Drosophila melanogaster: one gene and its partner. The gene in region 1 interacts genetically with each later gene. Each region holds a gene or a part of one and is shown on either strand. Other genes may lie near its edges.

Evidence for each region. Genes that interact genetically often act in the same process or in processes that back each other up.
Region 2: of Cpn (region 1) and Calx, changing one suppresses a phenotype caused by changing the other (phenotypic suppression), as found in Drosophila melanogaster (one study listed by BioGRID).

The regions. Positions count from the first base shown.
Region 1 is NT_033777.3:12,161,765-12,168,897, forward strand, and holds Cpn (calphotin), read right to left. Parts: upstream 4,423-7,133; 5' UTR 4,357-4,422; intron 3,910-4,356; 5' UTR 3,787-3,909; coding exon 1,192-3,786; 3' UTR 1,123-1,191; downstream 1-1,122. UniProt on the Drosophila melanogaster protein: Plays important roles in both rhabdomere development and in photoreceptor cell survival. Might function as a calcium-sequestering 'sponge' to regulate the amount of free cytoplasmic calcium. It binds 0.3 mole of Ca(2+) per mole of protein.
Region 2 is NT_033777.3:20,975,103-20,981,804, reverse strand, and holds the start of Calx (Na/Ca-exchange protein), read right to left. Parts: upstream 3,623-6,702; 5' UTR 2,685-3,622; intron 1-2,684. UniProt on the Drosophila melanogaster protein: Na(+)/Ca(2+) antiporter that couples the energy of a Na(+) electrochemical gradient to the movement of Ca(2+) against an electrochemical gradient across a membrane, which contributes to the regulation of cytoplasmic Ca(2+) levels.

The DNA of each region.
Region 1 (7,133 bases):
CCGAGTTGTTCTGTGCTGGCATTAATGCGGTTAGGCTGTGTAACCTTCATCCCAGTCGCATGAGAATAGCCGACTATCCCCCTCCGGAACCACACCCTCCCCCCGCTCAAAAGTGCCAGGAAGTCTAAAAAAGAAAATTCGTTTTTTCCCAGTTTCGGGTAGCTGTAGCTGTGGCTGTTGTTTTGGTCCTGTGCCACGGCATCCTCGGCATGACAACTTCACTCTGTTGCTCCATTTGCAACATTTATGCGATTTCGTATGTTGCTGCCTGTCGGTTGTATCTGGTGTATCTGTGTGCGGGAGGTCATTTTATTGTTTCCAGACAAAATGGTCAAATGGGAATTTAGCTTTTTTGGTGCTGTGTGTGTGGGTAGCCGATAGATTTAGATTGAACTGTCGAACATGTAACTGGGTTCTGTCGAATTCTGCCCATATACAAGCCCAACAAAAAAAGGAAAACTTTGGGAGATAGCCGACCAGCTTAAACAATGCAAATGATTAGAATAATCGCCGAAGGTGTTTGACTCAACCGGACTTACTTGCCCCATAAACACAAATTTCAGTTTGCCGCAATAAAAGTTTTCATTTTGGCCCCTTTCGACCGTTTTTACGACTCTCGATTGACTTTTGCGTCAGGACAGATCAAAATAAATTCCATGGGCTCATTTTTAAATGAAATCAATAAGGGATAGTCTTTATATTTAAGCTTTTGAGGAAGCGTAAGCAGGAGCTTTAAATTAAATTATTCATTGATAAATTTCCAATTATCAGAAGTCGCCAGCTTTCTCGATACAAAAGCAGAGAGGTAACTCTAATTTATGTCGTTTTTTCGCTGACAAAGTGTGGGAAATATTCATTCATTTTCCCCGTTTACAATCGTCTGTATTTATGTCCCACTCCCTTTTGGAATGCTAATTTCCACGGGAAAATTTTCGACGCGCTTGCAAATTAGGTTCTGTGGCTGTGGCTTTGGAACCAGCTATGCTGATATGTCCAAAAAGTGGAAATGGTAGATTTGTTTTGGTTGCATTAATTTTGCACGGAACAATTTGTGACAACCTAGCCATACCTTGGCTCTTTTAACCCTATTATGAAAAGGAAATTAGTAATAAATTTGTATATACTTTAAAATTGGTGAAATAACGCTTTATTAGTAGCTTTACTTTACATGATCCAGGCTTTAAACTTGAGCTAATTGGATTTGGGAGGACCAAGAATTTTCTCGATTTCGCAGAGTCTGTCCATTACCTGCTGATTTCTGGCCTTTTGATCCTTTAGCTTTTCTCCAATGGCATCCAGGGTGGCTGCAATAGCCAATAGCGAAACATCGGTGGTCTGAAGATCTCTTAGCAAAGGAGTTATCTTTGCTACGGGAACGGAATCTGAGGGTGACGATGATTGTTCGGGGATTTCCGAAGTGGGAACCTCTTCAACTGCTTTCTCTGCAATGGTGGGAACAACTTCAGATATTCCCACACTAGTATTGTCTGGGTTGTCCCCGGCCGTAATTGGTACTTCGGCAGCTGGAGCTTCAGAAATCACTGGTTCTGCGTATTTTGAAACCTCCGGGACTGGTGCCTCTATTGGGATGGTGCTCTGTTCAACAATGACCTCTGCCGGCTTTGTCTCTGTCTCTGGAATTTCAGCTACTGCGATCTCTTGAGGAACCGGAGGGTCAATGAGCGGTATGGCAGTATCAGATACTTCTGCAGCAGCAGTAACGATTTCAACAGCGGGTGTGGTGATTTCGGTAGCTGGAGCACCGTCATTAATGTTTGCAACATCTGGTTCCTGAGTAGTGACAGGAGCTTCAGTTATGGCAGGATCCAGGACTTTTTCGGCTACAGGATACTCAACCGTAGTTTCTGGAATCGATGTTGAAGTTTCTGTCACCGGCACCTCTACAGCATCCACTGCTTCCTGGATTACGACAGGTGCCTCCACAGGTATGGGTTCTGTAGGGGTCGCTAGGCTTGGTTCCGGTTCAGGTATGGGCTCTGGAGCTGTAATTGGAGCGACAGCCACTTCTGGAGAGGCAACTGCTTCATTTGGCGGCGGTAATGAGGTCTCTGGTATTGGTGAAGATGTTGATTCTGCAGCTTCAACAGCTGGCACGGATGTAGTTTGTTCTAATAAATCCGGAATAGGAGCTGGTGGTTCCACAGGCTCGATTATTAAATCCGCAGCTGCCTCAGGTGGAGCAACGTCTGCAACTGCAACTTCTGTTGTAACTTCGACAGGCGGTGCAACTGGCGTTTCAATGGCAGCTTCTGATAGTACAGAAACATCGATAGGTTCCGTAGGCACTGCCGCAGGTGGTGCCGTGGTCTCGGGAACAGAAGCCGTAGTTGGTGGAGTAGAAACGATGGGAGCAGCGGCAGACGGAGCTTCAGCAGGTGCATCAGAGGGTGCGGCGATCACAGGAGCAACTTCTGGTATATCTAAAGCTGCTATGGTCACTGGTGCTGATGCTGGTGCTGGTGTCTCAGGAGTTTCTTCAGCCACTACAGCTGGTACAGGTTCGGCAGCCACAGGAGGGAGAACAGGTGGCGCTAAGTCGACAGGAGTTTCAGCAACAGCACTAGGAACGGGTGATGGAGCGATCACCGGAGGTAATTCGGGAACAGCAGATGCAGTGACATCCGGATCCGTTACTGCTAGTGTTGCAGGAACTGGTGTCGTGGCAACGACTGGCGCTGGTATTGATTCTGCGGCCACAGGAGGTACAACGGGTGGTGTTGTCTCAGCAACAGCAACTGAAGCAACTTCTGGGGTTTCTGCAACAACAGGTGGTGCAATGGTTTCTGGCTCTGGGGCTGGAGTAGGAGGTGTAGCTACAACAGTATTCGCAGCAACTTGGGACTCGGCAACGACTGGAGCAAGGGCTGGCGTTTCTGGTGCAGTTGTTAGAGTCGCAGCAGCTACCGGGGGCTCAGTCGAAGCACTTACAGGAGCGACCACTGCGGTCTCCACAGCTGGTGCAACCGACACATGGGGGGAAGCTGCAGCCGGAGCAACGACTGGGGTTTCAGTAGCCGGTGGAGCAACGACCACTGGCTCAGCTGCAGCTAGTGGTTTCGTTGCCACGACGGAAACCTCGGGGATGAGAGGTGCAACGCACTCCGGTATGGTTGCAACCGGAATCTCAGCAACAGGTGGTGGAGCTGGAGTCTCGGCGACGACGGGGGCAACTGCAGGAGCAACGGCAGGCGCAAGAACTGGGGCAACAACAGGAACAGCAGCTGGTACAGCAGCTACAGGTGCTGCAACGGGAACCGTGGTGTTAGCGGGAACCACAGGTGGTGTGGCGATCACAGGCGAAACAACGGGAGTCACGGCAGCCGGAGTGGGGGCAGAGGCAGCAACAGGTGGTGTCGCTATCACAGGCGCAGCTACAGGAATTGGGGCAACAGGAGTGGGTGTTGCAGCAACGGGAGGTGCCACTGGTGCTGAAACAGCGACCGGAATCTGAGCAACAGCAACGGGTGGTGTTGAAACTGGACTTGCTGCCGGCGGAGTTGGAGCTGCAACAACTGGAGGCGCCACAGATGCGACAGGAGCGACGGATGCGGCAGCAATTGGAGCTGGAGCTGGAATAGTAACTGTTGCCGGTTGCACACTTGCAAGGGTGGGCGGTGGAGCAACTGGAGTGACTGCAATCGGTGCCGCTGGTGCGGGAGCCACTGCCGCAGGACTTACTACTTGGACAGGGGCAGCCACTGCTGATGGCGTCACAGGCGCAGCAACTGGTGCTGAAACAGGCGATGGAATGGTTCCTGGTTCCATGTCTATCCTTTGCCCACTTTCACATAAAAGTTAATCCGTTTTTTCCTTTTGGGCGGATTGTGCCTTGTCCAATGCTTAGTTGCAAAAATGTTTCATGGCCAGCTTTTCATGGTCAGAAGACAACTGAAAACAGAGGAATGAAAACGAGAAAAACATGAGACATGGCAAGGCTGGATCTGACCATGATTTAGGCCATTGTCTTAAATAAAATTAAATCGATGAGAAACCACGTAAGAATGAGAAAAATAAGAATAAAAGTTCTCCGGAAAATACTGATTCAAATATCTATACAATAAAATTACATTGATTAAATGAGATTAGAATTGTCTTCACTACATGAGAAGTAAAAGTAAGAGCAATTGAGTTAACTAGTCTCTTGCTTCTGACGTCTATTCGAAATATATTTTTCTTTTACAAAACTGTAGTTGCTAAATTATGTAAGAGAAAACAAGGCACTTGCACAATTTCGTTCAAAAATTCGAAAATAAGCGGTCAGCAATGAAATGGTCAACTATTAGGAACTGCCTCTTAGGTAAGTCAATCCTTTTGAATATTTTCAATATTATTAACCAATTTAATTTGTTGAATAGTTTTAAACAGCGACCGACTTGCCGATGAGAAAAACGGTGTTTAACTGGCCCGTTGACTCAGTTTTCTTGGACATTTTTACCTCTTTTCATTGGTTTACCTTCGGTCAGAAGTCCGACAACTGCCCATTGAGCGCAGAAAGTATACGCATAGTTTCAAGTGCTTTTTGCGTTTTTCCAATTCCCAGACACTAAGGTGCTTATCAGCTGACCTTAGCCACATATTAAATTTGTTCCGGCTCGCACGAGGAAACATTTGGCGCTGAAAAGTGTGCTACATGCGTTGGCGCCCACCACTGCGTATGAGTGATATTCGCATATTATTCGATTATCGATTCCGTTCGCATCTTGCCAAATGCATCGGGTAGATAAATCGGGGAAACGCTTTCAAGAATTTATTCGCGATCCAGTGCATATCGCTTACCACTCGCTTTGTCAGCTGCACTCGCAGACACATAACTGGTTATTTACACAATACTGATTACTTTGCCGTATTTGCAATGTAGTTGTCAACAAAATGCGACAGGTTCCCGCGCTGCCCCGCACTGCCCCGCCCTCACCCGACCCTCCACAATCCATTTGCTATCGTGGCCCATTCAATGTCTGATGCAATGACAGTTGACAAACTGCCACTACGTAGCCGTTGGATCGGAACACATTAGCTCGGTGGAAATGTAATCGCAAAGAACTAAGAAATAAATCTTTCAATTTTTCGAGTGAATGCCGGGTAGGAAGTGCAGCCAAATGTAAAGCAATCCACAGAGGCAGCCGGCAGTTGCACATGCCGTCCGTTGGAGCAAGTGTAATGTGATCTGCGTACAATTTGCAGGCGTCGTTTTAAAAAGTCCAACACCAACACGTCCACCTACACCTTCGCCTCACTTGCCCCTCTGCTGGCCGGGAACCGAGCACACTTGAGACTTTTGCAAATAGTTTTTCCACATATGAACAGAAAGAATTTTTCTCGCAGGATGGAAAATAAAAAGAGTTGCGAACGAAAAGAAAAGAAATACATACATATATATAAATAGACGAGATGGGAAAACGCTTATATGGAAATGATTTCACTGGAGAAGTGGAGGAGCGATGCGGAGTAGTTGTGAAGATTGAATTGGCAGTTCAATTTCACGTATTATTGACATTTAAGCGTAAGCATTTGAATATAAACTGAACCCGGCTCAGGGATTGAATGCTTGGAAGGCCGAGAGCGAGTCCTTTCACAGGATGCACAGACATTGGCTGCCTATTATTTTCTGTGCGATAAATCAATCGCATGAAGCAAAATGCAGAGAAAATACCAAGATAAGTGGAAATGAAATTACATCAAGCATACAAATTGTATTTATACTTTATTCTATCTCCTCCTGCATCACTGAACTCGACAATTGATCTGAGCTGCGAAGGAGTTTGCGTACCTCAACAAATACATTTGATTTTCTTCGAATCTGTGGTCACTGATGAGTGATCTCAAATTGTAATTGCCAGCAATAGAATAGAAGTTTTTGTCATATTTTACAAATATTTCTCAAACAATGTTTTATACCGAAAAACAATACTCGGATGAAATCCATTCCCTGAAACAATGGATATTGCATTCCTGGCTATTTTCGAAGGTGAGGCGATCAACTACAAAAAAAAAAAAAAAACATAAATCAGCGCAGCGTATACACCTAATTGCCGTCATTTTGCACGCACTGTAAGAGTGTGGAAAGTCGGGCCCGTGTGCGATTGGAAAAACCAAATACAAATATGAATACAAATGCGGGGCGAAAATCGAAATTGCGAAATGTGGCAAAAGGAGCTCAAGCTTCAATCCGGAGCCGCTTCCGGGTGTATTTTGCTAAATTGCAAATATTTCTCAATTCGCATGCATCAGCAGAGAATGCAATGCAAACAATTTTCACCCAGCGGCCACAATAAAAAGGGAAACCCCCGGCGAACGCAAAAAACCCAAAACACCCACACGCAGAAGGGGCACACAAAGTGCTGGCTAGGCAAAAAAAATTCGCAAAAATCGGCGCCGTATGGCAACCCTGGTCGCTGTGTGGCTGCTGCAACTATGGCGCAATTTATTTCCAGTTTGATTGGTTTTTTCGTGCTTAATTGCACTTGGCTTGCGGGGGGTGGGCTGGTTGGTGTGTTTTCGACCATCCAATTGGGATTGGTGGGGGCGGTAGTGTGGGTGATGGCTGGTAGTTGCCCCAATTGGTTGAAAGGTCGCGCTCATCACGTGCTTTAATAATTTATTCAAATTAACACGCGTCAGCCTGCCTTTCCGCTTCCCTGGGAAAGTGTCTGTTACTGCGTTTATGCGGAGTGCATGCTGCAAACTATAAATCAATTAAATAATAAAGAGGAAAATATTCATTAAATATATATATTATTATTGTTTAAACATTTCTCTCTTCTCCGTGCAAACTAGTAGATCCGACACTTTCCATGAACATTCTTATTCTCGAAGCGTGCGGCATAAACATGATATGGCCCAGCGGGTGGCTCAGACTGCGCTCGGTTAATGGCCAACACTTTGTGGTCAGAGCAAACCGGAAAAACTGGCAGGCAAATGCAAAATATTGCACACAAGCACCCACTTACGGTCGCTACCCCCACCCACTTTTCAGGCTATTTTCACCTCCCTGGAAAGTGTGAGTGTGTAAATTACAGCTACATTTTTAATGCATTTTTATTTACATTTACATGGCAGCACAAACAGAGCCCAGTTGAGCGGAGGAATATTCTGGGCCGACACGAACTTTTGAC
Region 2 (6,702 bases), 8.8 Mb from region 1:
AGGTTTTCACTTTGGTTTCCGTGCTGACACAATGCCGACATTTCGATGTGTACGTGCTGTGAGTGTGTTTGTTAGCTTGCTGTATGTCTTCTGTATGTGTGTGTCTGACTCAGTGTGTGTGAACTTAGGTGCGTGACAACGGTAATTTAGATATCCCAATATCCTGTTCTTTTCGCGCGTCTTTTGTTTCGCCACAAAAGCTGACTTAAGGCTCGCCTGTCAGCGCCTTGTCCGCCATTTTTGTGATTCTGTCTCCATTTTCGCGTCCCTTTTTCAGATGTTTTTCCTTTATTTATGGCCCTCGCCTTTTCCTCTTTCCTTTTGATTTTTGTCATCTTTATGGAATTTTTATCTCTTTTAATTTATACATATTCTCCGGCTCCGCCATCATCGCCATCGCAATTTAATTGCCGTTCCCGAGAAACTGAGCAATCGAGTCCTTTGCGTTTCCTTTTTTCCACCAAACTCTGCTTGCATTTTATGCTCGACTTGGCTGGCTTAGAAGTAAGCCCTATTTCAGCATTTCTCTACGTTCTTTATGCCTCGCTGGCCATAATCAAATTGCCTGCAGATCTGCCCATCTGGACGGCTTACTGGGCGTATGCGCAATTTGATGCCCACATACACGGTAAATCTAACAGGAAAATATGTAAAGCGAAGCTGGGTGAATTTTTTTTTATTTATGCCTCGTAGCTGGAGATTTGTTACTGTCAGGACGTATGTATGATTAACTCTGCTGCAACGGAATCCTGCATAAACTCTACACTCGAAAGTATGCTTTTTGGGGCTCTATTTTTTCCGGAAGCACGGCAGCTGCTAAAGCTGCTGATTCTGCGCCATTGTGCGAAATGTTGGCTTCCAGTTGCCGTGGCCACAGCAACTGTAACTTTATTTCACCATTGTTGTTCAATTGGGTGAGGGGCTGGAACTTTCTGCTGGTTTCATGAATCAAACATGACCGAATCTTGTTACATATTTGCAGTTTTCTTCGTCGAGTTTCTTTTGTGTACACATGTGCGCGGTTTATTTTTTTGTTAGTTAGAAAAGTTGGTCGCCCCACACACCGAAAATGGAAAAAAGTAGAATTTTTCGCCACTGTTTGCGGCTGCTACGTATGCAAGGCCTAAGCTTTTGAGTGCCTGCCACTTTTCTCTAAGCCTTTAAAGCGCTGAATTTTCATCTGAGAGCTGTACTGCGGTTTGGCTGTGTGGTCTGTTGCTTTTAATTGACGGAGCCATAAATTAAATGAATTTTCCAAAATCTTGTTTCATCTGGATTTTCTGCATTTCGCTGAATATGCTGCATACTCAATTTTAAATTACCCGAGGTATTCCTCTTATCAGAATCAGAAAATCGAGCATTTTGAGTGCTTCGAGTCATGCTGATGTTGGGTACTTGATTAAGCTAGCTAGTTAATGGCTGCCATTTAGTTTGATTAGATATAAAGCCCCAAACTGAGTTCCATTGTAACTTGTGTCCAATTGACAAATACTTATGGGACGACCTTCCTTCATTCATTGGTCAGTGAAAAGGAGCCCCTTAACCGAGTGAATGAATAAATGGCTATTTATTTGTACAAAGGGAAACAAAGTGAACTCTAAACTGAAATGGTAAGCAAATGTCAGGCAAGTGAAGCGAATGAAAGCTTGAATGATATTGACAAAGGCAAATGCTACCACCCATCGTCCTATGAATGAAAAAAGAACTCAAGGGGCTGGCCGACTTGGGCAGGAGTCGCGGGTTTTTTGCTTTTCAATTGTTTACTAGTCTCCGTGTTGATTGTTTTCTTTGGTTCCTTTCTATGGATACCCTATCAGATGGCATGATACTTTAGGCACTGTCTACAGTATAAGCGAAAAATTTCATCTAAGCGGGACAGTAAAATATACTTCATATAAATAATCATTTGTGGTTTAATGCTCTGAAATCTGAAATCATAAGCCTAACGTTTTCTGGCGAAGTTCTTTACTTTTTCTTGGGAGTCTTAATATACTTTATATGTTCATATGGGAGACGTGCCTTTTGGAATGTTAACATTATATCCCTTACTGACATTCGTTTCTTACAGCGTGTAAGAATCAAAGCTAGGATGCCATACAGCTTTATTTATAGTTAGTTATATCCTCTACAGTAAATACATTTCCGGATCACAAGCCGAGTCGATCATGATCAAGAAAATATGTAACGCCCAGAATTTGAAAAATGATCCAAAAAAAGTCCATTGCAGTTATGGTATGTGATAGTCGAGAAAGCCCAAAAACCAGCTGTCCACAAGGGAACTTAAAACTCGAACTTATGCCGATGTCAACTGGATTCCCCATTTGCTTTTCTTTTCTTCTGCGGTGCTGCTCGTCTCTTGATACTCACAAAAGACTCAATTAGGCGTTAGACAAAGACGGTGGACATAGCCATATGCTGCTTGGCCCAGAAGTTGTCGCTAATTCGCAGACAAAGGGCGAACGAGGGGCCAGTGGGCTTAATCGATAGAAAAACGAAAATGGGAAAACAAACTGACAATTGTCACGGACTGCCCCCGTCCGTTGTCAAGGTAAGACCGCCCGCACTATTCATACTCACATACACGGGGCGTATGCGTAATGCCTTAGCCATACCGCACGGCACTTCACATGTGGCGTATGATTAAGTCGTGCTTGGGTAGAATGCGCCTAAAACGAATACATTACCGGCAATCGGAGATGGAGGCGCCAGTGTGGCGAGCTGCAGGATCCGCTGCCGATGCTGCTGACACAATTTTCGCCGCTGCAGAGCTGCAACTGCAGAATGGCCGCACACAGATGCACCAGATATAGATACAGATACACAGATACAGATGCACGAAGCTGACGCCGAATTTGCGAATTTCGAGCTTGACACGAACACCCGGAGGCTGTTGAACCGCACCGCTCTGAACTCTTTTGGCTAGTTTTGTAGGTTTATGCCGTTTTCGTGCACATCCTTTCCTTTTCTTGCAGCTTCCTTTACAGTTGCATTTTTTGCAGCGGCTGCTGCAGTCCGCGTTGCCAAAAGTGAAAAGAGGCGGCCGGCACGGCGGTCGGTGGTCAATGGTCAATGGTCAGAAAACAGGTTCAAAAGTCGGCGACCGCAGGCGCAGGTCCTGTGTGTGTGTGTTACGAACGGGTGTGTGTGTTTGTACCGCACAACTTTCCCAAAAGTATGCAAAGATATTTAGCCTAGTTTCGACTCTCCGACAGCATCGTTGTTGATTTTTTGCTGCACTTTCTTGGCATTTTCTTTCAATTCATTTTTGCTCTCAAATTAATTTTGAAAATTTATTTATGGAAGATCATTTCACTAGCTTTAAACACTGTTTTTGTTTTTATTGTTGACTGAAGCACAACAAACACATCAACAAATACCTACATATATTTCTGTATATATGTGTATCTGTGTATGTTTCGCTGTGTAGTAAAAATAGTAAAACGCTCGGCACTTAAAATAGGAGAAGCGCAGCGAAAAACCGTTTGCCGCTGTTCTCTTCTATTGTTGTTGTTATTGTTTTGGTTGCTTCTTTCGTTGTCGTTGTTGTTGTATTTACCGCTGCTGCGTGTGGAAATCACGGAGAAAACGTTACACGCTCAAACGCCGGATAATGAAAGACTAACCTGCGAGCCAGTAACCGACTGCCACATTGGCCGACTGCCTCTTTAAAAATGCCGATTGTCGCGACACGAAGGGCACCCGAAATGCACACGAAGAGTGAGAGTGGCGAGTGCGAGGGCGGTGAAAGCGGGACAGATAAGGAAGAAAGTGCACAGGATAAGGAACAGAGTGGCAGTGGAACACTGGCCAGGCGATAACAACTGCGCCGCTCTCTCTCGCTGTCGCTCTCCGATGTTCCCCATCTTCCTCTCGTTGCAGTGGCGCATTTCGCAGGGGGTGTAAAGGTTTGGCGGGGAGGGTGGTGTAGAGGCATTGCTGGTTAGTATAGCCCACACCCACACCCCCTCCTCTACCACCCGCTGTCTTAGACAAGCAAGCGCATAAGTTTTTGACGCCCCTGTTAAGTCGGTTGGAAACAAGTTGCTGTACTCTATGCTTGGAAAATAGTCTATTAACAATAAGCACCGTTAGGGAAAGTGATTACTAGCAGATCGGGGTGCAAAAAAATATAAATTTTCAACACCCAATAAAGGTTCACGTGGCCAAATCTTTTATTTCTGAAAATTGTATTGTTTTATAATTTCTTAAGCTTAAAATATGATATTATTCACGCGTTGAAGTACAGTATTGATCTCAACATATACATTTTATTTAAATATATATATTTATTTATATTCAAAACCAAATTTGAGAAGTACATCGCCAATTCCAACTCAAATTGGCTAGAAAGCTTTTGATCGCATTGAAGTCAGCTTTTAAAAATAACTTAATTGGTATGTGTTTTACCGGATAAATGGCTTTCCCCTGTATAATTTTGATTTAGTTGATTGCGCCTTTTTACTTGGCTCTCTATGCAGCATCACGCCTACGAACTTTTTCAAGTCACTTATGCATTTTATTTTAATACCTATACATATTTTAATACCGCGCCATAAAAACTTCACTTAAAAAGTTAAATAATAATATTTTGTAGTTTTTTTTTTCTAATTATAAATCAGTTTTCCTAATTTAAAGTAATCTTCTTCTCTTCTATTATTATAATTCATGTATTAAATCAAAGCTAAAGCAGCAAATTAAGGCAATCGAATTAAGCAATGAATTAACATTTTAGTACTCCCCATCTACGGTTGTGTAATATGCCTCTCTAAATAATCGTAGGGTATCACCGGGGCTTTAAAGGTGGAATTCCTTACGAATGTTCTTTTGACTATGGCGACTGCGTTAGAATTTGGGGACCTGGATGGCTCGGCGGTTCGGCTGCTGACGGGCCCAGAACTGCGAACCGAATGGCGAGCTGTGCGAGGCGTCGTAAAAATAAATAAGCAAAACGGAAATTAATAAGACCCAAATGTTGCCGCTGTCGCAACGACCTCCCCATGTTGCCCCTGAGAGACCTGCCGCGACAATAGCGTTAGCCTTATGGCCATATAAACGCAGCAATGGAAACAGCAGCAGCGAAAGCAGCAAAAGTAGCGAAAGAGAAGCAAACGCTGCACGCCATTGCTGTAAGTACAGTACAGTACAGGAACATGTGTGCCAGTGTGTGCGCTCACAACCTTTTGCTACCTTGTATTTGGCGTCCATTTTTTTTCGTCCGCTTTCTGTTTGTTTTCGTTACGGATCCCAACTCATTCGGCAGGGGTGAACACGGGGCGTATGAGCAATATATTTATGTTTATAGCCTCGTTTCCAGTTGGTGTGTAGGCATAAAACTGTCGCGATTTTTATTTCGGATGTGTATGATTATTTGGCACGACAACTCAATTCAATGAATGAATAATAGCAATCATGAAATCATAGGACATTTACGAAATAAAATGACAGATCACAAATCTAAGCACTTTTTACAAATTACGTTTCTTTGCATTTGCAATCAACTTAAGTCTCATTTTACGTTTTTTTTTTAAACCCCACTTCCACATGTTTTTGCAAATAAAAGATTTTGATTTGTTTTTTAAGTTTTATTTATGTAGTTTTTTATTTTAATCATTGTTTAAATCTACAAATACATTTACAGCGGAGGGCGAAAGAACAAAAAATTAAAAATGTTTACTCATTGTTTTGTTGTTACATGCAAGTTTTTACTTCTGCGTGTTGTTGACAAATTTGTTGTGGTTTTTGTTTTGTTTCAAGTTCTTGCTTTGACCATCGAACGTTTATATAATTCTGCATTTGTTTATAAATATTTGTAGTCCATATTATGAGTTATTTATATTTTGTTTTTGTCCTCGTTTGGTTTTTGCTTTGCTTCGTTTTAGTTTAGTATCATATCTCTTTCACATCAGCATCCATCGATCAATATTATTAATTACTCAATATAATTTGTTAACAACTAATAATAATAATTTTGTTTAGTTTTCATTTTCTTTCATAACTAACATGCCATAATTATCGTTATCCCCAATGCTAATGATCATCTTCACTAAGTTAGAAAACAAGACAGTTGGCTAAAAGAAAACAGCAGCGAATTAAACTCGAATGTCTGGGCGTATCTCTCTGCGTGGGTGTGATCTTATCGGTCTAGCCGAGCTTATTGAACATCCTATAATCGCTATCTGATCCATTTTTCACAATTCACAACTTGAAATTCTCAATTAGCCAGCCCGAGCCGCTTTTTCAGACCCACTCATTTGATAACGACAATGCCAAGCTTTTTAATTCGTTGAACTTCAATGTAATGACCAACAATTTGACCGCTCAACCGTTCATGTTGTGTTTGTTCTTTGTATTTGTTTTTCTTTTTGTTTTTGTTTTGGGGCGTGTGTGGGCAGGGAAAGCGATAAAAAACAATCAAAGAAAAGGTAAACAGAATACTGCCTTGGGCTTGCCCCATTTTGGGGCGCTGTGCCGTGTAAAACTTACAAACATTTATTTTGTGGGCGCTTTTTCCTTTTGTTTTCTTTTGTTTCGTATTGAATTTGGTTTTTAGTTTTATTTGGTTTTATCTTTTCCTTCTGGGCCTAGGTATCGGTAATGGTATCTGTATCTGAATCTCGATATCGACATCGGGGGACTTAATCCCACCGAATCTCGGCATCGGTTCTTTTGGGCTTAAATGCACACAAAGCATAATATTGCATG